Mus musculus: one gene and its partner. The protein of the gene in region 1 interacts with the protein of each later gene in a pairwise test. Links are inferred from orthologs where the notes say so. Each region holds a gene or a part of one and is shown on either strand. Other genes may lie near its edges.

Region 1 (3,916 bases):
CACAATGCCAGAGATCCCTAAATATGCTCATCAGAAAATGAGGAACCCCAATGACACGGACAGAGGCTCACTAAGTAGGAAAGCTCTTCCTGTAATTGGATACATATGTGTTGAAGGAAGGAGGTATAACAACTGTCTTTTCCATATCTAAGCTTCAATCTTTGCCCCTAAACTTAACCTCTAAGTGGTAAGATCTGTCTTGGGCTCAACCTTGCTCCACCCTTAGGAACCTGCCTTTCTGAACTTGTTTCCCCCCCCCGCCCCCCCCACTTTTTTTTTTAAAGACATACTATGGATGTGTAACCTAAGTTAGCTTTTAAAAAATTTAAAAGAAGCCGGGCGTGGTGGCACATGCCTTTAATCCCAGCACTTGGGAGGCAGAGGCAGGCGGATCTGTGAGTTCGAGGCCAGCCTGGTCTACAAAGTGAGTGCCAGGACTACACAGAGAAACCCTGTCTCGAAAAAAAAAAAAAAAATACAAGAAAAATCTCATTCTGTTGACTTGCCACTCCCACCTCACCCGTTTATGTAGACCAGGCTTGCCTTGAACTCATGGAGCTCTGTCTGTCTCTGCTTCCTGAAGCTGGGATTAAAGGTGTGTGACACCACACTCTGCTAAATTACACGATTTTTTTTCAGTTTATCTCTATATGTGATGTGGAGTACCTGTGACGGGCAGAAGACAATTTGCAGACTCTCTTCCACCATGAAGGTCCCAAGATTGAACTCAGGTCATCAGGCCTGGCAGTGTACACAAATACCTACGCTACCTCACCATCCCAGATTGGCTCTGAACTGCAAAGAAATCCTGTCTTAAGTCAGGGTTTCTATTCCTGCACAAACATCATGACCAAGAAGCAAGCTGGGGAGGAAAGAGTTTGTTCGGCTTACACTTCCATACTGCTGTTCATCACCCAAGGAAGTCAGGACTGGAACTCAAGCAGGTCAGAAAGCAGGAGCTGGTGCAGAGGCCATGGAGGGATGTTCTTTACTGGCTTGCTTTCCCCTGGCTTGCTCAGCCTGCTCTCTGATAAAACCCAAGGCTGCCAGCCCAGAGATGGTCCTACTTACAAGGGGCCTTTCCTCCTTGATCACTAATTGAGAAAATGTCTTACGGTTGGATCTTATGGAGGCATTTCCTCAACTGAAGCTCCTTTCTCTGTGGTAACTCCAGCTGTGTCAAGTTGACACAAAACTAGCCAGTACATCCTCCTACCTCCAACTCTGAGTACTGGGATTGCAGGTGTGCACCACTACTGGCCTGTTTCCTGGATAATATGGGCTGTATAAACTAATAAGGAGGAGTAAAAGGGACCATTATTAAAAAGTTTCAGAATAGTACAGGTACTGCATTTAACGTTGTCCATGTGTGGTTTTTCTTTTTTTCCTTTGAGAAAGGGTTCCAGTAATCCAGCCTGGCCTCTGCACTTTTGATCTTCCTACCTCTGCCTCCCAAGTGTTGCGACTACAGGCCTGCACCATCACCAAGGCGGTGTTAGTGATAAAATCCAGGGCTTTGAGCATGCTGCTGCTAGGAATGCTACCAACTGAATCACTTCTCCATGAATATCAAGAGTTTGAACTAGTCGACAGACAGGCCCCAATCTACCCAATTCCAAAGCACCATAATATAGGGTTCCTGCACATGATCCAGGCTCCACTCCAAGGTAGGCCCCGGGTGTGTCAGTCAGTCCTAGAAGGCTCACACCAATCAGGCTTTGTGGGCACGCCCACAACCTTCTCCTTCGCCTTAACACCAGCTACAATCCTGCTTTCAACGCAGTCCGCCCGCCAAACCCAGGAAAGCCCCGCCCCTCGGGACGCCCCGCCCCAACGGCCTCTCCTACCACCTCGGGCCCCACCCCCCCAAGGCCCCGGCCCCGCCCCGGCGCATCCGGGGTCCGTAGGCCTCGCCGAGCCTCCCTTTCCTCACCACTGCGTACTAGGGCCCGAAGCCTAGCGAACTCCACTTGCCCCGGCTTCCTCCGACTCCCAGCCCGGATAGGCCCCGTTGAAGTCCGGGCCTCCACCCTGAGCTCTCTGTTCCTGTAGCACGGCTTCGGCCCTCCAGTCGCTACCGCCACCTCGCCTGTCTGTACCCCACAAGGCGCACCTTTGAATAGGTAATCGTACTCGTCGTCCCGGGTCCCCATTGTCCTGGCGCTTCCGGCGGGATCGGCGACTCCGCAGCCCCACCACAAACACCCGTCGGGGGCGGAACCGGCGCCGCGTAGAGCGGCGGTCTAAAGGCCAGTCAACGGTGAAAGCGGTAGTGACAGGCACCTGGACAAGCCAATCAGGCTGAGAAACCGAGCTCGGGGGGTAGGAGCCTCCTGGGATCCACCCTTCTAGCCCTCGGTCTCCCGGAGAAAGGCGGAAGGAATGCGGACCTTTTTGAAATGACAGATTCAGCAGCCTATCAAAAGCAGATGGGGGAAGGCGGGACGGAACACTTGAACAATGAAGTGGATTGACAGAGTGCGTAACCAATGAGAGACTGAACTCAGACTGGGCCTTCCAGCGAACCTGTAGGGGAAGGGAAATTGAGCTACCTCTAGGTGACGTTACGGACTTTAACGTCCTGATGACATCATAGATCAGTGGGTCTCCTCCGACCTCTTATTCTAGCCCCATAAATGACCATTTCCGGGCGTATGTTCGTTGATTGGGGGTGCCTTCTCTGGGTTGCAGTTCCCCAGTTCTTTGTTTAAATACAAAGCTTATGTCAGTACCTCCAAAACAAATGGGGATCCTAGGCTTTTTTATTTGTTCCTCTTCTCAAAAAGTTCTCTTGTTTTCTGCTTTCACCATTACTCATATTTTTTCTTTTCTTTTTTTAAGACAGGTTTTTCACTATGAAACCCTAGCTAGACTGGAATTGGTGATATGGATCAGACTATACCTGTCTGATTTTCTTTTTTCTTTATTGTTTTTTTTTTTTTTTTTTTTTTTTTTTTTTGTGACAGGGTCGCACCATGTAGCCCTGGCCATCTGGAACTTGCCCTGTATAGACCAGGCTGGCCTTGAACACAGAGAGCTGCCTGTCTCTGCCTCCCAAGTGCTGGGATTAGAGGCATTGGCCACCACCACCCAGCTTGATTTTGTTTGTTTGCTTGTTTGTTTGTTTGTTTGTTTGTTTGTTGAGACGAGGCCTCAAGTTACCCTGACTAGCTTCATATTGAAGAGGGAGTAGAGATAGAGAAAGGGAGAGAGAGTGGCAAGGAGGGGGGTGGAGAGAGAAGAGGAGAGGCCGGCCAGGGAGAAGGGGCAGAGTGTAGGATAAGAGAGGAGGGGGGCAAACAGCCCCTTTTCTAGTGAGTTAGTCATACCTAGCTATTGCCAGGTAACTGGGAGCCTAGAAGGAATGATAACAATACATATTTACTTTGAACTAACTTCTTTTTTTCTTGTTCTGTTTTATTTGGAGCACAGGGTCTCCCTGCCTAGAACCTGATATTTAACACTGAGAGATCCACCTGGCTCTGCGCCGCTAAACACGCCACCTCGTGCTAGCCAACTTTGAACTTATGATTCTCTTGTACACTGGTAACTTGGAAGTTACCTCTCGGGGGCTGGAGAGATGGCTCAGTGGTTAAGAGACTGACTGCTCTTCCAGAGGTCCTGAGTTCAATTCCAAGCACATGGTGGCTCACAACCATCTGTAATGGGATCTGATGCCCTCTTCTGGTTTGTCTGAAGACAGATACAGTGTACTCGTCACATATATAAAATAAATAAATAAAATCTTTTTTTAAAAATTTACCTCTCTGATTTCATTTTCTTTCTCTGCTTGTGTATTCCTGAGATTATGTGGCTCATTTGGGCCATGAAGTCTTTGTTTAACAGATATTAAGAGATTGGGAGAATAGTAAGGAACAGCAATGCAGCTTAATTTTATTTATGTGTATGTGTGTTA
Region 2 (3,816 bases), on another chromosome or scaffold:
CCACAAGACTATAGGAATGACTCCAAGATGCAAAATAAAGTGTATTTTGTAGTTTCCAATGTGCCTTTTCCTTGGGCAGATGTTACATATACAAACACTAAAAACTTTAACTTCTAAAAATTATGTTCTTAGTGACAGAAAATAGAGGAATATAAAGAAAATTCTCCAGTTCTAGTGGCATGCTTAGTTACTTAGAGGACAGACATGGTTCCTGTGCTCCTGCAATCACAGGCGTGTCAGTTCACACACCAGCTTCTTGGCAATGGACTGTGCTTTAAGTTGACACAGTAGTCTCAAAACCATGGGTCACAAGAGTTCAGGAGCTCTCTAAGTAGGTTTTACTTAACATACTGGGAAAAAATTCTGTTCTACGCCTTAACTGGAGACACCCATTAACTACAAATGTTCTAGTTTACCAGAAAGATGACTTGTGACAGAAACTTCCAGGAATGCACTTTCTGTCCCCATACCTGGAGCTTCATAAATACAAAGAAAAAGTCTTAAGTTCTAAAAGAATTTTTTTCTTATATACTTGTAACCATAGGATTTATAATACAACCTTGATTTTGATAGTAGTGTTAATATTAAAGTGGAACAAAATGAAGCTGAAATCTAGTGCAGGCCGTCTCCCTGTTAAAGCCACAGAGGCCACAGCTTGAGGACAGTTACTTTTCATATTATTTGTATTGTATTATTTTAAAACTAGTTCCCTTTTTTTTCCTGCTTTTCACTGACTCTAAAATTACCTAGTTTAGCCAATCTCTAAGTTACCTTGAACACTTGTTTTCAGTAATCTCTGCAAAAAAATAAGTGTTCAGAAAGGGAGGGGCACACTCTTATTTAGCTTGTACTTAAGAGTTGATGAAGTAGAGACACATGAAGAAGTATCTCTGTGTCAGGAAAGCACAAAATAAAAATTTATTTCTCTGAAGTATAGTCTATAGATAAAACTGAATGAATTTTTTTTCTAAAACTACAGCAAATTCCCATCTAATAATAAAGAAAACAAACAGAAAATGAGCACTTCCCTCTGGAAATTTTAAGAGCATTTTTTAACATAGCATAGAAGATATACATTCAAGGGTGGGCATTGCATTCATGATGGAGAGGTCTAAGAGAAAAGCGTACCCAAGTGGCTGTTAATGCTCCGTCTTCTGTAAGTACTGGGACAAAACAAAAAGCCCCAATTTTAAAGAAAAGGATATATAAGACATCAATTGGTCACCTGTCCCTTACCCAGTATTTCTGGGACCCAAAGTGGTTCAGTTTGGTTTTAGAATTTTAGAATATCAGCATTGACTTTCCATGTAAAAATTACAAATCTGAAAAATTCCAAATCTGAAGCTCAAGGTTCTACCCACGATGAAAGCGTTAAACTGTCATTCTACTTCTACATAAAAGTGGATCGGGTTCCAAGTGAAGGATACTCAGCCTGAAGCAGTGACCATCTATTCGATCCCCGCTTGGTACCTGGCTTTGTACTGTGTGTTTCATGTGTGTGTTACTTAGCCTCACTACATCCTACAAACTACATATATCCTCTTTGCTTCAGAGATGTAGATGCTGAGGTCTAGAGAGGTCACAGTACTCCACAGTCAGGATTCCCACTCAGGTCTGTATATTACACAGGACACTCAGCCTCTACTGTATTTCTCTACAATTACTTAAAAACTTCATGGTCATCTTCATCTTTGCTTGAGGTTCCTTAAGCAGGTCCTCTATCACTCAGAACTGCAGAACCTCTGACTTTAATGCTGTGAAGTAAGCAGCCATGTACACAGAAGGACCCAAAGCTTTAAAACTCTAACTTTCATCAGCTGATTGTACCCATGGCTACTTGTCACCCAGGGCTCTGGTTAGGGTACAGACAGTACCCCCAAGGGTCCCTGGATTCAAGAAGACATTCATGTATTCATGAATAAAAGATATTTCTGATCAGCCATCTAATAAAGACAGTTAACATCTTTTATGACAACATTAGTACTTCAGCATTTGCTAAATAGCACCATGCTGACTGCTTCTGGCTCACTGGCGCTCTCCTGACAGCCCGTGATTTAATCCCTGGGAAGCACCTAGAAATATACTTCTGGATTGAATTCATGCCCATGGTCTATTCACTTTTACTGGGTCTCATCAAATACCATGCTGTTTTCTCCAAGAACTATGGTAGGTTTCTGGCTCCCATAGGTAGGAGCAGACTGAGGTAGAAAGGAAAAAGTCTTTGCTCTTCCAAGGTAAAACATTCAATTCCAAGGACACATGCAAACAACAATGTTTAGATCTATGATGGATAGTTTTTTTTTTAAAGGTAAAAATAAATAAGTAAATAAAAAGAATATAAAATATTCATGCATCTAAAAGGAATACTTATTATTTTCAAGTACAAGGTCCCCCAAACGGCACATGTTCCTCCTGGTGAGCTTACCTTGAAGATGGCATTATAGTTGAAGCCCTGAATTTTGCTGTAAACGGGTTAGTTGACTCATATTCAAAATAGTCCTGCCGGTTTTCACTAAAAGCACTAGGTGATTTCAAGTCACATGGGCTATCAGATCCACCATTGTTCAGCTTGTCAGGTCTCCTGCTATCTCTCTTGCCAGTCACTCTTTCAAAGAGGCTCACCTTCTCCCTTTTCTCTCTCTTACTTTCTTTCCTGACTTCAATTGGTTTTGAGAATAAATTCATGCTGCTGTCCCATGGCTCACTGCTTTCTTCAAATGGATTCTTCTTCCTTGGCAGTGTTGCAAATTTTTGGGGTAATGAAGCAGTCACATTTGTAAATGGGTCACTCTGTCTTCCAAAAGAGTGTTCACCTTCATCCACAATGCTGCCAGGTTGGTTCAATTTAGAAGTATCAAAGCTTAGTGTTCGTCTGTGTGGAGACTTGAGACTTCCTACAAACATTTTTTCCCATTAGTAGGTGATGGGTGACATATGCTGTTACACTATCTGATACATTCTGCTGCTTCAGAATGAGAGCAATTAACAAGATATCAACCCTCAAAATAATCAAAACAATCTTAAAATTAGGTAAGGGGTATTATAAGTAGATGTGCTATGATACTATATTTTTAGACAATTATATTACTATCTTCTTTGGCTCAGAACCGATCACATGAGAAAAGTGTAAAATCCATCCAAAGGGCCTGCTCTCACAATCATACTGAAAAGTCTTAAACTTTTCCACCATTAGAATCCAATTTTGTTTCCTCTGAATATAGAAATTTTTCTAGAAACACTTGTATGGAATGGAATATATGCTACAGGCTCTTTTTCCTCTTTGGTGTGTCCATGGATATGCGTGGAGGCCAGAGGTCAACCAACACTGTCATTCCTCAAGAACTACCCATCTTGGTTTTGAGACAAAATCTCTTACTGGTATGGAATTTCCCAAGTGGTCTTGGCTGACTGGCCAGGGAGCCCCGGACATGCACCTGTCTCTACCTCCTCCATTCCTGCCTTACTGTCTCAGTGTGCATTTGGGTGTCTAAGGAACTCCTCAGATCCTCATGCTTTCAAGGCAAGCACTTTGCCAAACATTTCCCGCTGCAAGCTTTTGAAATGGAGAAATGATAACAGAAAAAAGAGGCCAGGCCACAAAAGAAGGCTAGGATTCATTTCTCTACCACATACAACAAAAATATAGATACAAGCAAGCATGTCTCCGGTGAATCTATCAATTAGGTGTTGGGAGGTACTCAAACAATCAATGACTGGCTTTAGAAACACTACTTTTCATTTTCTATCTTTAGAAGTTACACTACATAAAATAGGAGAGAGGAAGAAAGGAAATATGGCACCACTTACCACTTTCTG

Evidence for each region.
Region 2: the proteins of Rab11b (region 1) and Rab11fip2 interact in binary tests that used the Homo sapiens proteins (3 or more experiments, as listed by UniProt). The link is inferred for Mus musculus from reciprocal best matches to the Homo sapiens genes RAB11B and RAB11FIP2.

Annotation. Positions count from the first base shown.
Region 1 is NC_000083.6:33,758,110-33,762,025, forward strand, and holds the start of Rab11b (ras-related protein Rab-11B), read right to left. Parts: upstream 2,378-3,916; 5' UTR 2,154-2,377; coding exon 2,114-2,153; coding exon of another isoform or gene 1,934-2,113; exon of another isoform or gene 1,749-1,933; intron 1-1,748. UniProt on the Homo sapiens protein: The small GTPases Rab are key regulators of intracellular membrane trafficking, from the formation of transport vesicles to their fusion with membranes.
Region 2 is NC_000085.6:59,933,181-59,936,996, forward strand, and holds part of Rab11fip2 (rab11 family-interacting protein 2), read right to left. Parts: coding exon 3,808-3,816; intron 2,895-3,807; coding exon 2,426-2,894; intron 1-2,425. UniProt on the Homo sapiens protein: A Rab11 effector binding preferentially phosphatidylinositol 3,4,5-trisphosphate (PtdInsP3) and phosphatidic acid (PA) and acting in the regulation of the transport of vesicles from the endosomal recycling compartment (ERC) to the plasma membrane.